5 linked regions of the Ovis aries genome follow. The protein of the gene in region 4 binds, or shares a complex with, the protein of the main gene of each other region. Links are inferred from orthologs where the notes say so. Each region holds a gene or a part of one and is shown on either strand. Other genes may lie near its edges.

Region 1 (3,514 bases), on a different chromosome or scaffold from region 4:
CTGCCTTGGGGAGGCAGCTCACCCTGTCCGAGTGGCCAGGGTCTGGTTTTTACCTTTTCCGCTTGGCTGAGTTCCTCCTTACTCCTTAGCCTATCCCTGTGCGGGGGGTCTGGGCCCAGGCCCTCGTCTTCTAACAACTGTGCATTCATGGTCAAGAGCCAGGCAGCCGTGCGGTCCAGGGCATTGGGGCTCACGGGTGAAGGGCCCTGCGATGAAACACAACTGTGAGGGACTGGGGCGGGGGGGAAGGGGTGGTCCCGGGTGCGGCACAGGGACGGACGGGCATCTCTGATGCAGCCCCAGGCCCTGGGGAGTTTCACCTCCTAGACGCAGCCTGAGGCTGTCACGAGCCGGGGGTGGGAGGGGAGCCTAGCTGAACATGGCTTCTCTGCCGCCTGGGAGAGAGCCAGTGGGCTTGGGCTGGCAGGTTGGTGTCTAACCCGAAGAACCTATAACTCTGTGCAGAGCCCTGAAGACCAGCTCAGAGCAGGAGGGGGACGAGCGGCTAGGTGGACTCCTACCCTGGGTTGGGCTTTAACAGGCTTTGGAACTGGAGATGGGCAGACAGATCCCTTCCTCTTTCTTCCTGACCCCAGCTGTCTCTGGGGAAACTGGCAGAGGAACCCCAAGCCACAGTGAAGCTGGTTCACAGGATTTAGGCCAGGGCCACTGGGGGGCTGTCACGGCAAGTAGCTGGTGGGATGGGGCCAAGTGTGGCATCATTCAGCATGGGATGGCAGCTGGGTGCGGGTGGAGATGACGTGGCCGGGAGGAGCAGCACGACGTGGGGGGTTAGCCGGACCCCACCCTGGGGCGGGGGGTGGTGGCCTGCCCTCTCCGCCTGGCAGCACTGACCTGCTTGTGCACGGCGCGAGGCTTCAGCTCGGGGCTGTCGCCCTTGGAGGACGAGGACTGTTGCCGCAGCCGCGCTCCGGGCCCAGCCCAGTCGGGCGAGGCCGAGGCCAGCGTTCCACTCGACGGCCGTGGGTACTGCAGGGTGCTCAGCAGGGTGGGCGGCGTCCGGCCTCGGGGCGCGGGGGGTGGCGGCGGGGGTGGTGGCGGCGGCTGATCGATCCTCCGCTGGGGGCCGGCACTGTTCTGCCGTGGCACCGTGGGCTGCCCACCCTTCTCGGTCAGCGACACCTGCCGCCGTGCCAGCTCCCCGGGGCGCCGGCCCAGGTCTTCGGGGGCGGCTGCGGCGCCGCTGCTGCTGAAGCTGCCCAGCTTGGCGGCAGCTGCCAGCTCTTCGCTGTTGCTGTGGGAGCTCAGGGAGCTGTGGCCCTCGGAGCCCGAGTCGCCGAGGCCGCGGGGAGACAGTGGCAGGCCGGCCGCCATCTGGTACACGGGATTCTGGAAGGACAGCGGTGCCAGGAGCTGGGGCCGACCCGGCGCGCCCTCCGACGTGCCCGGCGTGGTGGGCGTCTGGCCTGCCCGCCGCACTGTGGCCAGCCCTGCCAGGCTCACGGGGGCCGCCCGGGCTGGCCACCCAGCCACCAGCTGAGTCGCGGGCGCTTGGCCATCGGCGGCGAGGGTGTCGGGGCCTGCTGGGGAGCCTGCCTCCCCATCCAGCACGCGGGTGTCTTGGAGGTCCACCATGGACAGACTCTTGCCGCCGTTGGCCATCTGAAGATCGGGCTCGTTGGCTTCCGAGTAACTCGAGCTGCGGGCAGGTGAGGGCTGGACCCCGGAGGACCTTGTGACAAAAAACAAGTCCTTGTTTTCGGGGGTTGGAGACGGTAACCGGGTGAAATCTATCAGACTGCAGGGAGACAAGCACACACAGGGAAAGAAGGGGGAAGAGAAGAACTGTGAATGCAGCCCAGGCGGGGTCCCGACCAACTGAGAGCCCTGCCAACCTGCCGCCCTGTGGCCTGAGCCAGGGATGGGGGAGGGGGGAAGAGAGGGGAGGCAGGGAGGGGAGGGGAGAGGAGGGGATGGGGCGGCAAGAAGGGGAGAGTCCGGGGCGCAGCTGCGAAACCAAACCACAGCCACCGAGCCTGGCAGAGGCCACCACCAAGGCGCGGGGCGGACGGCTGCTCCTACACGGAACTGCGGCACTAGGGGCCCGAGCTCCCAGCACCAGGCCAGGCTGCCTAGCAGCGGCCCTTTTCCTGATCAGCGCGGCATCTTGAGACAGTAGGTTCTGGGGCCTGGGGTGTTCCGGAAAATTCCCCTGCGCTAAATCCAAACCCACAACTCAGTGGCTCTCTGCTACCCGAGGGTCCTGCACCAGGAACGATGACTTCAAAGCCACGGGGGGCTCCCTCTGCCTCTTCCCTCCCGTCCCTAGTCAGGCTGCTCACCAAAGTGGGGGCCTGTGCTGAGAGAAGCCTCCACCTGCAGCCTCCTACTGCCACCCCTTGTCTGACTGGCAGGCGGGGGTTGGGGCTTCCGGCAAAAAAAAAAAAAAACACAAGGTATCAGAGGAGGATCCTCACGGCGTGACTCAGGCAGGGAGGGCCTGCACCTGCCGCTGTAGGCCATGTCCCCGACCCTCCACCCCAGGCTCCTAGCCTCTCTCTGGCCCCTTCCCAGGAAAAGCCAGCTCCTTGGAAGGAGGCACAAAACCAGGTGGGCTTTGAAAGGCAGGCTCGGGGGGAGCTGAACAGGCTCTGAGTGGGCTGGAGGCAGCAGGAACCTGGGGCTTCAATGTGGGCTTAGAAAGGAGTTGGCTTAGTCTGGGATGGAGAGGAAGTGCCAGTCCGGGGTGATGGGACAGGACAGGGTAGGTTGTGGCCACTCGAGGCCACGGCTCTTGGGGGCCGAGAAGAAGTGGACGGGGGAAGTAGGTGGAGTTGGGAGAAACCCGGACCAGCCCTGGGCCTGGGTCGCCCTTCACATGCCCAGGTCAGCTCTCCTGACCTCTCAACTGACGTGTGTCCCCACTTGAACTCTTACTTTGCCTCACTTGGCAGGTTGTAGGGACAGCCCCTCCTCAAGACGTAGAGGGACCCGGGGGGAAGGGGCGTCAAGGTCTCTGCATCTCCGGCCTCCTCCTGGGCCTTTAGTCCCTCACACCACATCCCCAGGTCCTTGATCTCAACGCCCTTGCCTGCTAACAGCCTGCCACTGACGTCCCCACCGTCTCAGAGCCAGACAGTGCCCGGCTCTGCTGCTCCAGCCTCAGCCTCGTGAGCCAGTCCAAGACGGTCCTGCTGGACGAGGGGAGTGTTTGACCCCAAGTACAGGTAGCTCACTGTAAACATGAAGGTCCTTGTCTTGACGTCAACACTTGAGAACATTCTCCCTCCCCCTCCATTGTGTATTGACGAGGCACTCGTCCCAGCACTGGATGTGCAGAGTGGGAGCTGGGCCTCAGCATCTCTCTAGTTTCCCGGGGCTCCCAGCCTCTTCGCCTCGCGGAGTCACCTGAACTCCTCCTGAAAACACACTCTGGAGCTCTACTTCTGGAGACTCTAGTTCAGGCCCAGGAAATACTAGCTCATATACACACAAAAAAGTGACTGTGACTAGTGCTGATTGGGACCAGTAACTGTTCCTCGACAAAAGATAC
Region 2 (3,514 bases), on a different chromosome or scaffold from region 4:
TCATTTGCAAATGTTTTCTCCCACTGAATACCTATTTTGATTCAGGTCCCAGGTAAGAGGAAACCAAGGATTAATAACATAGAAGTTATGATCTACTAACAGTAAGGAAGACAGAATTGTTCATAGTTAGCTTTAATTTGATGCAGTATGGTACATCCTGCCCTGCCCTGCCCTGTGTTAGTCCTCAAAATACAAAAGTTTTATGACTTTTGTATACTGACTGACTGTGCAAATCTACACATTTCTCATCGTCAGTAAGTTGCATGTCACACTTATTAAATCACCAGTTGGCAATGTAGTAAAATAACACTAGTAATGAGAAATTGTAACTGAAACATAAATGCTAAATATAGATAATGTGGTCAACTAAAAGCAAATTTTGAAACCATATGAAATAATCATGCTATAACTTCAGGATTAAGCTGGTGGAATATATAAGGCTTGGTAAACCCCCAACTTCAGGTTCCCCACAGCCTGTCAGGATCTCACTCCAAACAAGCAGACTATAGGGACCTTCCTGGTGATCCAATGGTTAAGACTCCAAGCTTCCACTGCAGGAGGGCACAGGTTTGATCCCTGGTCAGGGAACTAAGGTCCCTCATGCCATGTGGCATGGCCAAAAAATTGAAATAAATGAACAAACAAGCAGACTATCATTCCCACCATCTGCAAGGGTTTCCATGAAGAAACTGGGAAGACTTGAAATGTTGCACTAACTATCCTCTAAATGAATGTCTTCTGATATCCTTTCCTAAAAATCTATCTTTTGAGTTTATCCCAGTAAAATATACCTTGTATAAGATTTGCATGTCAAAAAATTTCTTCTCATCAAGACTCAAACTCTGCTAGACTAATTCAGGCAGAACATAACAAGCACCAAAGGAAGATATAGGCAAAGTTCAATAAGAGCTCAGAAAATAACTCTGTAAGATACAGCCTAGAAAAGTACAGAGTTTTAATAGGCTGAGGAAGAGCCCAAGGGAGTAACATCAGCAAAGGTCCAGGGATGAACAAGATGAGGGAAATAGGAGTGTGGGACGTGCTAGGAGAAAAGCCTAGTTCTATAACAGCCATACAAAAATGCAGCAAAAAAGCCTTCATTATGTGATTCTCTGAATTAGGTGCCTCCCTACATAGGGACAGTTACCTGCAGCAGTTCTTTAGCCGAACCTCTCTTCTCCACATCCATCTCAAGACAGCGGTTCAGAAAGTCTCGGAAGATAGCTGACAGCTTCTCTGGGTTCTGAAGCTCTGGGGTCCCATTTGTGGCAATGAGGTACAAGGCCTGGAAATACAAACAGAATTGCCCTGGGCTCTACCTGGGATTCTTTCCTGGTTCCCAGACAGGCCCCGAAGAAATATGGTCGGCTGCTTTCTGCCTTCAGAAGACAAAGAGGCAGCTTTGGTATAATGGAGAGAATATGACTTAAGAGCCAAATTTCCAGTGAATTTCTAACTTCCTCGTCTGTAAAACAGGGATGATAACAGTGCCTATCTCACATGTCTGTAAAATAAAACAAGATAACATATTGTAAGCATTTCATAAGCTTATGAAGTGTGTTACAGATCCAAGGATTTATTATTATTGATTTAAATCTAAATGGTTTACTATACATTTAGCCTAATGAGTTAAACACCTGCCCATTTATTGAAGGAAATTTATTATTCCTGGTGCCATCATCTCAGTCATCTAAAAACTGATCTCTTCTAGCAGGAAAAGAATATATAAAGGAACTAGTCTGTAAAGGAGCAATCTGTTTCACTGTTGCCATCTTGGTTCTCTAATATGAAGCCATATCCTGGGAAAGATAAAGAAAAACATCATACTAAACCTTTTAAAGCAATCTGAACTTTATTTCATAAGTGTTTACACAAACACTATCTCATTTAATGACCACAATAACTCTGGGTAATAGGCAGAGCAAGAATTATCATCCCCATTTCACAGATAAAGTCCTAAAACATAAAGAGATATGCTTGGGATTGTGCTGTTTACACAAGCTTATGTCCTCTGACTTTGATCCCAGTCTCATTTCTGTTACTACTAATCATCATCATTTTCAAGGCCACTCTAAGGTGGAGGAAGATGAGTGGCATGTGGATCCACAGGGCAATACTGGGAGGCAAGGAAAGAAACTATGGAAGGTAGTTTCAGTTTGGTACACTAAAACACTTTTCAATAATCAGGGCTATCCAAGAGGTAACTGGCTAAAACTACATGACTGTTGATTAGCGACAAAACTCTGGGAATTCTTGCACTGAGTGAGAGGTTGGAATAAATAACAAAATAAAAACAATCAGAATAACTCTCACATTTGCCCATGATCAAAATTATCAACCTACTTGTATCTGTATTCACTTACACTGCTTTCCCTCTCCTATTATAATAACAAACTGTCCAAGTTCTAATTTGATGATCTTTACTTCAGTACTTCATCCAACCCCCCGATCTACTTAACGATATCACTATCTCTCCTACAGACGTCACATCCCTCTTGTACATGACCATTTTCCTCTCTACTAGATAATTCTCATCAGCACAAAAACATGCTATGATAATATCATCTTCAAAACAAAAAACAAAAAAAGAAAACCCCCCTAGTCGCTACTTCAAGATATGGCTCCACTCACTTCTCTGTTAGCATAACTGCAAAATTCCTCTGAAAGAAAACGATGAAAAGTAACTGCTTATACATGTCATTTCTTCACTCTGGTGGATTTACTCTAATCAGGCTTTTGTTCCCATCACTCCAGTGAAACTGACTGTCAAAGTCATCAACAACCTTCACACAGGCAAATCTAATGATCATTACTTCGCATTGGCTTAAATGCAACTTAGTCACATTTGACACACTGGTCCATCCTCCTTCTCAAAACACTTGTCCTCTTGGCCTCCAGGACACATCTCTCAGTTCTCCTTCTACCAGGAAGGCTGCCCATTGATCAACTTTGCTGGTTCCTCTAATTTGTAAATATGAGAGTATCCCAGGTCTCAGTACTACCTCTTTCCCTAAGTGTGTGATCTCATTATCATCTACCTCTGATTTTTAAATAAACCAACCATATAATACCTACTAATAAATTTGTATTTCGAGTCCTGAATGCTCACTCTTGAACTCTGAACTCTTATGCCCAATTCTACTCAATACCTCCATTTAAGATGTCTAATAAACATTTTAACTTAACATGGTCAGAACCTTGTCCACTCTGCTCACTCACTTCAGGGACATTAGTCTCCTTGGTTTTCCCAAGGATGTATCAAGTATGTTCTCTAAACAAGTTCTTTATACACTTGATAACTTGAAAATTCTTACTTCAGATTAATCTCAAAACTCATTCCTTTTTTCAGTTTTCTTTTTACTTTTTCATTCCTTTTTTTTCTTCAGATGTCTCCTCAGATAACTTATAAGAGAGGAATTCATTCTCCACCTAGAATAAAACAGCATACTTCTCTGTCCTTCCTCCTCTTACTCTCTTAAGCCCCTTACTATTTCTTTCACAGCTCTTATCTTCT
Region 3 (3,514 bases), on a different chromosome or scaffold from region 4:
ACAGCAGGTGAGGCAGGAACCTGTCTGGAACAGGCAACCAGGAGGCCCGCATGGCTGAAGTGGGACAAGTGAGGGGGAGAGAGGTCAGAAAGAAGGTCAGAGGGGACACCAGAGGCCAATCCTGGAGGCCATGTAGATTACTGGGATGACCTTGACCTTCACTGTTTTTGAGCTGGGAGCCATTATAGTACTCAAGTTACATTTTAAAAGAATCATTTTAAAAGTACCTTCTCAATCATTTTAATAGTGCTCAAGGTACATTTTAAAAGTACCCTCTGGCTATTGAGTTTAAACTACACTATAGGAGTGACAAGGACAGGGGCAGGGATGCCAGTTAAGAAGCTATTGCAGTAAACTAGGTGGGAAGTGGTCCATACTCTTCCAGTCCTAGGCTTTCCCTGAGAGGCAGGCCTCCTGACCCCAGTTAGGCAGACCTATTCTTGACAGCTGGAAAAGAGTTTCTAAGGGTTAGGTTCCCCAGGTGCTCAAACAAGAGCCAGAGCTTGCCAAGTGTATCCTTAACTGAGTTGTAAACCAAAGAGAGTTTAGGAAAAACTCCAAGAGAAGGGGTCCAAGACCAGGACAAACTTAGGGTGGTTGGTTCACAAGGGAGGAGCCAGACTATATGCTACAAGGCATCTCAGTAAGGGACACTATAAGGAGTGTGGCGTGCTGTCTGTTGGCTACTACATCCCCTCAACAATTCTTGGGATTCCCAGGCCAGGCCAGGAAGCAAGGGCTGTTCCTTTTACTTTTCTGATGAAGGCATTGAATCAGTGAACAAAGTTACAGTGAATCTGTCAAATTATTTAGAGAGTCTAACAATCAGATTATACACATTGAAAGATGTAAAAGGGGTAAAAATCGGCTGTGAAAATCATCAAAACCAAGGAAACTCCAGGCAAAACCCATGAAAATACTTCAGGGCTCAACAGAAACTCCTCGATTCCCAGTACTAAAAGATACTAAGACATTTACACACACACACACATAATTATAAATCTGTTAGTAAATACTTATTCCACTAAAGGAAATGCTCTACCTTCACCTGACACACAACACAGAAAAGTGTGAAGCTAAATTTCAGCTCAAATACTTTAGGGAAAAGCTCCTAACAGTGGTTATCTGGAGGAAGAGATAAGAGGGGAACTTTTATTGTCTCCATTATCTATTTTGATAAGTTTTAACTTATAGTGAGCCTATAATCTTATTAAATAATAGTATTAATTTTGAGGTATTAAAAAAGCAAAAAAGACATCAACCAAAGGAAAAAATATACCAAGGAGCTAACTACTCAAAAGGAGCCCCTGGGTAAATAGTTTTGAAGCAGGAAGAGCAATAATAATGTGAATAACTGAACCTTATTTTATCTGTATTATGACACATTTTTATAATGCCAAGGATTTTTGTTGGTTTTGTAATATAAGCAAGATTTAGTTTCTTGAAGAATAAAAGGCAAGAGAGTTACCTAAGAAAGTTCTAGAATGATTACTGATGAGCGATTAGATTGCATTCCTCTGGGTATCATCATGAAAAAGGGTAAACGGTTAGCAGTGTGCAATGACTTTAAGGGCAATCTTATTCAGAATCAAAGTGGCCAGACAGCTTCCTGCAGCCTTGTGATTGTTATTTCTCCTACATATCTCTGAGACATTTAGACTTAAGTTTGCTCAAAGAGCTTAGGGATAAAAAAAGGAAGCGAGCACATGGCCTCTCTTATTATTGTATTCTGCCATCAGTGATTCTTGGAGTAGCAGGAAGGACTTTGTAGATGGGCTACAGGGGCTAGAATTAGTAGCAGAAAGGGACATAGTTAAGGTGGAACAGTTGTCTAAGCTTTGAATTCTTTTGCTTTTTTAGTTTCTTGCCGCCTTGATGTAATCTAAATACAACTTGGCTTCAAAATATCTAATCACAGATTTTTTTTACCCCAGTTCTGTTCTAGTCTTTTTCACATATACCAGTACAAACAATTCTGTGAACCAATGAAAACTGCAAGATTTTCTGTCCAAAGACCAAAAAAAGCTTTGAGAGTCAAAAAAGCTTTGAAAAGATTGACTTACCACTGGATTTAATTTCTCGGACATAATTACTAGGGAACCAGCCTGTTCTCCCATTTAATGTGCCTTCCCACCAGCCTCCTTCTTCAACTCTAGTGACATAAATGATGTCCCCTTTACAGACAGACAGCTCGTCTTCATTAGTCTGCTTAAAGTTGAATCTCGCCTTTACTATCAACTGGTGACTTCCATTTTCCGTCATCTCCTGGAGAAATAAAAGTCACACCAGATTAGGTACTTATGTCAACGAGGCTGGGGCAGAAATTCTATGAATTTAGGCAAATAAAGTAGGGTGACCAAGGATAAAACCCCAGGTCTATCTCAGTCTTGAATCTTTAACTTAGGAATGGGCCTAATGTAGGTAGGCCTTTCGGGGACACAGGCAGTGAGAAGAAGGGGATTAATAAAGCCCTCAAAATTGTAGGCAAACTTTTGCATTTGTGAGAATGTGTATTTTGGAGGGGGTCATGCCTTCATCTCCTTGTCCCCCACCAGTAGATACTACTTTTATTTTTTTGGCCACATCACTCAGCTTGTGGGGATCTTAGTTTCCCTACCAAGAATCAAACCCAGGCTCCCCTCAATGGAAGCATGGAGTCCTCATCACTGGACTGCCAGGGAATTCCTGAAAGATACTTATTTAAATGAGCTAGGAAACAAAGTAGATTAATAAACTATCCCACTCTGCCTGTACCCAACACTCAGACAAAGTCTTACATAATTACATGACCATGATTAGGTACTAACCTCATCTCATAAAATCTGCCTCCCACCTCCCAATTACTAAGAATATCTTAAATTGGCTAAGGCTTAGTCATATGCAAAGATCAAATATCCCATAGTTACCCAAGTCAGGAGCTCTTAACCTGTCACAGGTCCCTGAGAAGATGATGGCACAATGTGCCTTTACCCAAAACAGAGACTAGAAAGTTCAGGGAGAAGATTTTGCATACAATTGGAGAGGGCCCAAGAGGTATGGAACCATACAGTGTTCATCAGCTTCTGAAAGGGATCTCTGATCTCAAAAGGTTAAGTGCTTTGGAAGTAATTAAAGTACTTTGGAACTAATAGCTCCTGATGGCTTAAAGCAAGTGGGTGGATTTTGACAAGGAATAAAGGTCTCAAAAGAGCAGAAGCTAGGGTGCTTCCTTCCAAAAGAAAGCTCCCATTAAGACCAAATGCAATGATAACTGAGCCATCCCAATACAGGAGCTCAATAGGAATGCAAAGAGAAAAAGAAAATGGCAGTGATGATGATGAGAGCAAGTAATATATATTGATTTCCTGCACTGTGCCAGGCACTATTTAGTTCTCTAATAAGCCGGGGGCGGGGGCGGGAGCGAGGGGTGGGGGCTGGTGACGGGGAAATAACAGCAAACTTCCCTCAGGAAGTTGGACTAACAACTGACATTTGCATAGGGTTCTCAGTTGCTCAATTCTAGAAAGGGATGGGC
Region 4 (4,017 bases):
ATCTGGCCCTTTACAGAGGACAAGCAAGTGCTCTCTTAGAAATCAGAAGTCGAGTTCTACTACTGTTCACCTTGGCCTCCCTCAGTTTAGAAAACAAAACCGATACCATTTTCATTCTGCCACATCTTCAACGTTTTCTTGCTGAATGAGAGACCTGAGGGTTCATGTCACAGGCAGGGGTGAAACTGGGGCCTGCCTAGTTGAGCTCACCAGTGGGATGGGACAGAGCTGGCCCGGAAACACTGGTCTCCCTAAAATGTGCCCTCCTCCCCACTATTCCACAAAGCACACAATGGCTCACAGGGTCCCTGCCAGCTCTCTACCATGAGTTTGACGTTTCCCTCTCTTAATTCTGAGAATAAATCAGTCCAGCTAAATGGACGTAGCAAGGGTGAAGCCGGACCTTTTAGAGTCAGGCACTCAAAGTGGGACCCTCCATTGACCAGTTATTATCCATGACCTTGAACCAGTGATGGAGCCCTTGGTTTTCTCATCTAAGAAGATAGCTAAGTACTACTTCCCTCATAGGCTTGTTTGGAGTATTAAATGAGATACATTTCAAATGTCTGGTACCTTCTAATCTTTCTCTCTCCCTTTCCCAGAGATAGTATTTGGAGAATAAACATTACATGAACCTTGTTAGGAAAGTCTTTCAAATTAGCTTAAAGATTATTTTATAAAAAAAATACCCAATCTATCAAAACAATAAAAATAGGTTTAGCATTTCATTGGGTGTTTTCCTCATATATCTTTCAGTTCTTTGAAGCTTTTTCCAAATTATAATTCAAAAATAAAAATGCTGTAATTTTTAGAAATGTTATATTTATGTAATTTTTACAGCAAGTCACACAAAGAACCGAGCTAAACTATGTTCTACCCATGTCCAGTTATGAAGACTAAGATGGTAAAATACACCAGAACCAGAAAATCCTAGTTTATTTAATCTGGCTTCCTTAACATGAAGTTCTTGTTCTTAAAATATTCAGTTTTGGCTGAATTCCAAGACTGACATAAGCCTTCTTCAGGTGTTCTGAAAAGACTGAAGAGAATCAGAACTGGAAACAAGATTGGAATATAAAACCTTCTATGTGATCACAATGCAAGAAACTTATTGTCTGAAAGCACCATTAAATCAAATTTTATGCCCACACTTATTAAAAAAAATGTATATATTCTCAACATTGGTTGTACAGGGTGCTAAAGGTTAATTTCAGTAACATGCTTTTATCTCTAACATTTGCTAGCAGATAGCAAATTGCTTCAGTCACTTGAATCGCAGTGACACTTTCTGAAATCTGTAATAGGCTGAAAAGATTTTTTTTCGTGAATTACTCTAGCAGTCACTTTAATGGGCACACTTTAATGGCCAACCTAACTTAGTTACTAAAACTGCATATCAGCGTTTTACATAATGTTAAATTATCTACTTGCCAGCCCATCGGGGTATATGGAGTCATAAAAAACATACTCTGCTCTTTTTCACCAAAATTCCAACAGAGATATCTCGCAAGTTTAGTGTCAAGTTACAAAAGTTGCTTTTCAAAGTAATTACTTGACAATTCAAATTGGTAAGAGATGGGAAATCAAGCCACTAAACTTCAGGGAAAGGGAGTTGGGAAGATCGTGACATAACATGCAAATTCACACAGATCCACTCTGCGTGCAGCTGGCTGCGTGGCAGAAGTCAGAATTTTTGTACTCTCAAAAGTACACGGAAAAAAATGAGGACATCTTCTAAAACAGGCACAGGTATATATAGAAGGAAAATGTGGGCCAAATCTAACAGAAGAGAAACCAAAACACTGAATAGGGCAGGGCTGACTGGGACAAGTAACTCGCACTGCAGGCGAACAGAAGTTCTTCAAGAGGACCACACGCACCCCTGGATTCCCAGAGCGGGCCGGCGGCCGGGGGGTCAGATTCTCTGCCACAAGCTGCGAGCGAGCCGAGCAGTCACGCAGCGCCGCTCACTGCCCCTAAGGTGGGGCAAGAAGTAAATAAGTAAGATGCTCGATTGCTGCCCAGAAACTGATCGATTTTTTCTACGGGAGCAGGGGGGTGGGGGTGGGAAACAACAGCTTTCCCCCTGCGGTGGCCCCCGACCGCGGAGGCTGGGGCCCTGCATTGTAAAGTCGCACGCACCTGCATTGTAAAATCGGTCCAGCACCGCAGTTTCTCCAAAGTCCAGTTTCCCAAAATGCAGGGTCTCCAGGGCGGCGCCCACCGTCTCGCACGCCTCCCGCAGGCACTGCAGGGCCTCGCTCTCGGCCACCACCAGCTGCCCCTGGCTCGCCTCGTTGATGACATAGGCCACCGTGGTCCGTCGGCCGCCTCCGCCCCCAGAGTTGCCCCGGCACCGGGTGGCGCTGCTCCCAGCGGTGGCACTGGGACACCCGGCGCCGGGAGCGGCGGCACTTTCCACGTTCCAGAAGCTGCCCGGTGGCGGCGGTGGCAGCTGGGTCTCCTCGCCCTCGGCCGCCGTCGCCGCTCCTCCCCTCCGGTAGCTGCCGCCCTCGGCGAAGGGCGGCACGGAGAAAGTGATGCCCTCGCCCGCCTCCGCGCTCATCTCTCCCGGCCGGACTGCCGCGGCGGCGTCTCCCGCCCAGCCGCACCGTCTGGCCAGCCACAGTTCGGGGCTGCTCCGTGCGCGCCTTGCTAAGCAGCTGCCATCCCGCGTTGCGCCTTCCGCGCCGCGCCGCCGCCTCCTCTCCGGCGCCCTCTCCCCCGAAGGGACGCCGCTGCCCGGCGGCGGCTCGCCCCTCCTCGGCGCCTCCGTGGCCGCGCCGCTCGCCCGCTGCAGGGTGTAGAGTACAAGGGGTGGGGAGCCGGGCTGAGCGGGAAGGGACAGGGCTTCCTTTTCTTGGCCGGCGGACAAGTCGGCTCGCGAACCTGCTAGGCGGTGCGGCTCAAGGGCGCCGCTCTCCGGGTGCGGTGCGCCCTGGCCACCCGGGAACGCGGTCCCGGCTCCTTCCGTGCCGGGCACCCTGGGAGGGGCCGGGGAGGGCGCCCTCTGGGTGGGGAGCTACCTGGCCAGCACCTCGCGGGCGGGCAGACTCCCTGGACCGCGTCCCGGAACAGCGGCAGCAGCCGCCGAAGGGATCCGCCTCCTTCCTCGGCGGCAGCTCCCCTTCATCGGCTCTGTTTCCTCCTCCTGCCCCGGCCCCGTTCTCTTCCGATTGCCGCGGCCGCTTCGTCCCCGGCACCAGCCTGGTAGCTCGAGTCTCCCCGCTCCTTGAAGCCGCTCGCCCGGTCCGCCACCGGCTTTTTGCCGCCCACTCGTCGCGGCACCGAAAGTCTGGGCCCGCCCCGGGGGAGGGCGCTGCTGGGAAGCTCGAGTCCGGACGAAACCGACCGCGTCGCGGCTCCCGGACCACGGCCCAGCCCGGAGCACCGCGCGAGGCCAAGGTTCTCCTCCGTCACCCACTGGGCTCCCCACCCAAGACAACCTGGAGTAGGCAAAAGCCCGGAGAGCAGGCGACTATAGGATGGCACAAAAAAAGTCTCTCTTGCGAATACTCGGGTCTTAGCCAGCGCCAGGAGGCACGCGCCACGTTCCCCGTAACCACGGCGCCCTCCTCCGGCCGGTGCCGGCCTAGCACCGCCGTGCGGTCGGGTCCCATGTGCGCGCCGGGAGCAAGAGGGTAGCGTGGGGAGGCCCGCGTGGCGCTAGGCCCGAGGATTTTAACTACGGTCCTGCAGGCGGCCTCAACTGGAGAGTGGTGTATTGGTGACAGTGGCTCTGCGGGAGTGGCAGGCTGAATTTATCGGGTCTGCCCCTGGTACTTTACGTTTTCAAGTTTTCAATAGCTCTGCTGTCGTGAATCGGAGAAGGCGATGGCACCCCACTCCAGTACTCTTGCCTGGAAAATCCCATGGGCGGAGGAGCCTGGTAGGCTGCAGTCCATGGGGTCGCGAAGAGTCGGACACGACTGAGCGACCTCGCTTTTACTTTTCACTTTCATGCATTGGAGAAGGCAATGGCAACCCACCCCAGTGTTCTTGCCTGGAGAATCCCAG
Region 5 (4,263 bases), on a different chromosome or scaffold from region 4:
AGTTTTTAAAAAGCTTACCTTCGATATACAAATAAGGTCCCTTCTATATCGGTCTTCTCCTGTAACAGACAATGAGTCAATTAGTTTTTTCCCCCATAATCTAACCCCAAGTTGTCCCAGTGGAGACGTCATGTTTAAGATTAACTTATTTATTTTAAAATTAATTACTCTGAACAGGTCAAGCTTCTCTCTACAAACTACTGTTACCAGTTTCTTTTGTATCCTTTTTAGTCTATTGATGCATGTTAATTGATATGCAATGTTCTATCCAGCAACATGCCTGTATCTACAGTAACTTTTCTTTTCTTTTTTAAAATTTAAAGGAGAAAAAAATCTAGAATTAGCTTTCATTTTTTAAAACTAAAATGTTTTAGCCAAATTTCTTAATTTTAAAGCCAAAGTCTGTATACAGTCATTACTTCACCTTTAAAGTTTATCAAAGTTAGTAGGAGAAAAAAAAGAAATTTTATCTTACAGGACACTGTTTCATCATTTGGGAGATTCCGGCATATTTTCCTGAGTAGCAAATTTTGTAGTTAGTTAAGAACTACTGTCAAACACAATTAGTTTGTTACTCTTAGACCTTTGTTGAAGAATCATGAGTACTGAAATTCTACTTAGTATAATTTGTATAGGTCTTACAAATAATTTAAAACTTTTTTTTCGCTTAAAGTAAACGTTTTGATTAAAAAAGTACAACTCATCATCTTTCATTTGCTGTGACAAGAGTGTATTTAGGTTTTAAACCGTTAAAATGTTTTGTTTTTTTTTTTAAATTAGTCTACAATTCACAGGCCAGATAGGATCTAAACAGTTTAATGCAGTCAGCAAACTATTAACAAACTTAAATGTTAGTCATATAGAATTGAATTTGGTGGGATGAAAAAAAGAACTTTAAAAGATATTTACCATCTTGATTTCTAACTTAAACATTATCATGGAATTTTTCCTTATGTATTTCTTGCCTTTCAAACTTTATTAATATAATAAATTGGTAATCAATTGCTTCACAATGAAAGAAAATTTACCCAAATAAACAACTGTGTAAAGTTACAAATCACTGCCATGATACAAATGAATAACGGCAGCTTAGTTTTCAATTCAGGTTATTTCAGCTTGTATTTCATTCAGCTTGTATTTAAAGAAGAATGGCACAATTAAAATTCCAAAATATTGGAAGTCTGTGACAAACTAGAAATAAAAGCTTATAGTAATAAGCCCATGCCCCAAATATTCACCATTTGTCTGCAATCCACACTCCAAAAATGTATATGCACAGCAAGAAAAGAAAAATGGTCCAAAACAATTTAAACTAAAGCAATATCTACTAAAACAGTCACACTTAAAAGAAAAAATCTATAATTTTGTTCTGTGTGGCTTGCCATACCTCCTCCTATTCCAGGAGGTGAAGGAAAGACGATACAAAGTAAAGCAAGATGACTCTGAAAACCCTCTGCATCTGATTTAACTGTTTATAAATGCGAAATGATTTTTCACAAAATTAATGATTAAATATAACCCATGTATCTGCATTATGTTGTAAAGAATATATTATGATAATAATCTTTGTTTTGTTAGTACAAGGACTTCAATTCTTATTGAAACGTGAATGTGAATCATTTATTAATTCAATCCAACAAACATTTACAGACTATTTTTAAAATAAAGCCTATATAGCTAAATGAGTTAATCAAGAAGATTCATATTTTTAAGGGAAATGATGTTACGTTTATTTATATTTTATTTAGCCACTTGCGTGGCTTGTTAGATCTTAGTTCTCCGACTAAGGATCGAACTCTTGCCCCCTGCAGTTGAAGCGGGGAGTTCTAACCACTGGATCGCCAGGGAAGTCTCGAAATTCTGACATGTAAACAACAACCGAAGCTTCAAAGCGGCTAACAAATCAGTGAACTAACTGAATGTAACTTTTCGCAACCTCTCTCGTGCAAAAAAAGGCAAAAAGTACTTAAGTCTGATGCGCGTATTCAGAGGTGACATCACCAGCAGCATAGCTGAAAACACGAGGTCTCTTGTCCAAAGGTTTCAAGGTAACAAAATTAACATGCAAGCCCTTTTCCTAAGTGCCTTGAAATCTTTTCCAAACTCTGGAAACACAGTGTAGTTTGATAAATGCGGGACGTATCCCCACCCTCTCGCCTTTCCAAGAACTGAAACTAATTGGAATTCAAGCTTTAAATCCTAATAACCTCTGCGAAGGGGGTTCTGATTTATCTATCTGTTGGGGGGAGAGGAGTGTTTACTTTATAGATTATGTATACATAATTTATCTAACAACTCTCAAAGCTTCAGACAATCTTACAGGCGTCTTTCTGACTCCATCGGTCTCAAATCCTCCAACACACCTGCAAAGAAGGCAGGTCGCCCACATCCTCGAACTGGACCCCTGGGGACTAATCCTTCTTCAACCCTCCCCTCTATCAGCGTTCCCCCCGGATGTTTGGACCTACTTCCCTCTCTCCTCTCACCCAATCCCCAGCGGCGCCGACACCTCTCAGGCGCCGGCCAGGCTCTCCTCCAGTCCCTGGCCTCGCCTCCGCCACCGTGGCCTCCCGCATCGCCCCCTACCCAGGTCGGTCGGCGCGGCCCCTTTAAGAGACGGCGGCCGGGAGAGCGACTTCAGCCACCTGGCTGCACTCACCCACTGGTTGGCCTTGGGGCAGAAGGTGTACAGTGCGACCTGGCCCGTGAGGTCTGCGATGCTGGTGATGTAGGGGTCGTGTTGCTTCAGGGCTGCTAGGCTCATCTCTTGCCCAGCTCGACTCAGCGACTCCATCTTGAATTCTGGAGCCGAGCCCCTCTGGCGGGGCGGAGTCGAGGACAGGAAGGTGCCATGGAGGCAAAGTTCCCCCAGCTGCGTCAGCGCCCTCAATTTCCGCCTCTCCACCGGGCCTCGCGGCCGGGCGGTACTGCAGCTATTATGCTCCGCTGAACCTACGCCCGGGGCACCGGGTTCCGGTGTCGTCAGGTCCCAGTGGACTAAGGTTCGAGGTGGGGTCCGCCGCCGCGTGGCGGAGCAGAAAGGCCTGGGCGCAGGTTCTTCTTTTCCGCGGGCTGAAAGGTACCGGCGCTCTGAACAAGGCTGCTCTGGAGCTTTCTCACCGTTCCTGCCGGATTAGTTTCCCGTGGCCGCAGACTGGAAACCTAGCTGCGTCAAGGCAGGGCTCCAGGGGCGATTTAGAAAACAGAAAAGCGGGGAGAAACGGGGTGGGGGTGGGGTACCTCGGAAAGTACCCCAGATCTCAGATCTATTTGTGTTTTTATAAAGGAAGTTTTTGAAAAAGCCAGACTAGCCTGTCTGTAATTACACAGAAATGTCTTTTATTGTCAACTTATTTTCTTCCTCTGAATCCCACGAAAATCTTTATCCAGTTTTGGAAAGAACCCTTGAAAAGTTGTTTGCCGTGCATCATTTAAAGCTTTAAAACGGTAACTCATCCTTTTAGCAAACATCTGCTTAATATTTTAAGGCATTTTAAAAGAGCCAGTTACTAGCTAAAGAGTAAAACAAGGTGTGGAAGATAAAGGGAGCTCTGCCCCTTCCCCCGCCCCTCCCCCGATTTGTTATAAAAAACCTTTTCTTATACTGAAAAGATAACCGAGAGGTGTCTGTGGCGGCCCAGTGGTTGACTCCACCCTTCCAGTGCACGGGGTGCAGGTTGAATTTTTTTTGACTGAAAAATACTATTGACTCTAATAGTTGTATTGTTTATGATTTTACATCCCGAGGTCGTTATCGGAAAGATACTTAATGTTTTACATTGTTGGCAGAATCACGTTACATGTACAAATGCAGAAAAGGAAACATATTCATTTACTGTTTCTTTAGCAAGTATTTTTGTTAGTAGCTCAGCCGTATCTGACTCTTTGTAATCCCATGGACTATAGCCCACCAGGCTGGTCTGTCCATTGCATTCTCCAGGCAAGAATACTGGAGTGGATTGCCATTCCCTTCTCCATCAGTTCAGTTCAGTCGCTCAGTCGTGTACAATTCTGTGCCCATGAACAGAAGCACGCCAGGCCTTCGTGTCCATCACCAGCTTCGAGAGTTTACCCAAACTCATGTCCATTGAGTCCGTGATGCCATCCAACCATCTCATCCTCTGTCCTCCCCTTCTCCTCCTGCCCTCAGTCTTTTCTAGCATCAGGGTCTTTTCAAATGAGTCAGCTCTTTGCAACAGGTGGCCAAAGTGTTGGAGTTTCAGCTTCAACATCAGTCCTTCCAATGAACACTCAGGAATGATC

Evidence for each region.
Region 1: MAP3K5 (region 4) and DAB2IP share a complex: the UniProt entries of both Homo sapiens proteins name them as parts of the cytoplasmic complex. The link is inferred for Ovis aries from reciprocal best matches to the Homo sapiens genes MAP3K5 and DAB2IP.
Region 2: MAP3K5 (region 4) and PAK1 share a complex: the UniProt entries of both Homo sapiens proteins name them as parts of the cytoplasmic complex. The link is inferred for Ovis aries from reciprocal best matches to the Homo sapiens genes MAP3K5 and PAK1.
Region 3: MAP3K5 (region 4) and ARHGEF6 share a complex: the UniProt entries of both Homo sapiens proteins name them as parts of the cytoplasmic complex. The link is inferred for Ovis aries from reciprocal best matches to the Homo sapiens genes MAP3K5 and ARHGEF6.
Region 5: MAP3K5 (region 4) and DCP1A share a complex: the UniProt entries of both Homo sapiens proteins name them as parts of the cytoplasmic complex. The link is inferred for Ovis aries from reciprocal best matches to the Homo sapiens genes MAP3K5 and DCP1A.

The regions. Positions count from the first base shown.
Region 1 is NC_056056.1:14,099,381-14,102,894, forward strand, and holds part of DAB2IP (disabled homolog 2-interacting protein), read right to left. Parts: intron 1,760-3,514; coding exon 856-1,759; intron 207-855; coding exon 54-206; intron 1-53. UniProt on the Homo sapiens protein: Functions as a scaffold protein implicated in the regulation of a large spectrum of both general and specialized signaling pathways.
Region 2 is NC_056074.1:16,260,093-16,263,606, reverse strand, and holds part of PAK1 (serine/threonine-protein kinase PAK 1), read right to left. Parts: intron 1,286-3,514; coding exon 1,148-1,285; intron 1-1,147. UniProt on the Homo sapiens protein: Protein kinase involved in intracellular signaling pathways downstream of integrins and receptor-type kinases that plays an important role in cytoskeleton dynamics, in cell adhesion, migration, proliferation, apoptosis, mitosis, and in vesicle-mediated transport processes.
Region 3 is NC_056080.1:98,465,072-98,468,585, reverse strand, and holds part of ARHGEF6 (rho guanine nucleotide exchange factor 6), read right to left. Parts: intron 2,266-3,514; coding exon 2,064-2,265; intron 1-2,063. UniProt on the Homo sapiens protein: Acts as a RAC1 guanine nucleotide exchange factor (GEF).
Region 4 is NC_056061.1:62,061,512-62,065,528, forward strand, and holds the start of MAP3K5 (mitogen-activated protein kinase kinase kinase 5), read right to left. Parts: upstream 2,813-4,017; 5' UTR 2,567-2,812; coding exon 2,143-2,566; exon of another isoform or gene 1-2,142. UniProt on the Homo sapiens protein: Serine/threonine kinase which acts as an essential component of the MAP kinase signal transduction pathway. Plays an important role in the cascades of cellular responses evoked by changes in the environment.
Region 5 is NC_056072.1:47,749,045-47,753,307, reverse strand, and holds the start of DCP1A (mRNA-decapping enzyme 1A), read right to left. Parts: upstream 2,805-4,263; 5' UTR 2,795-2,804; coding exon 2,660-2,794; intron 60-2,659; coding exon 19-59; intron 1-18. UniProt on the Homo sapiens protein: Necessary for the degradation of mRNAs, both in normal mRNA turnover and in nonsense-mediated mRNA decay. Removes the 7-methyl guanine cap structure from mRNA molecules, yielding a 5'-phosphorylated mRNA fragment and 7m-GDP.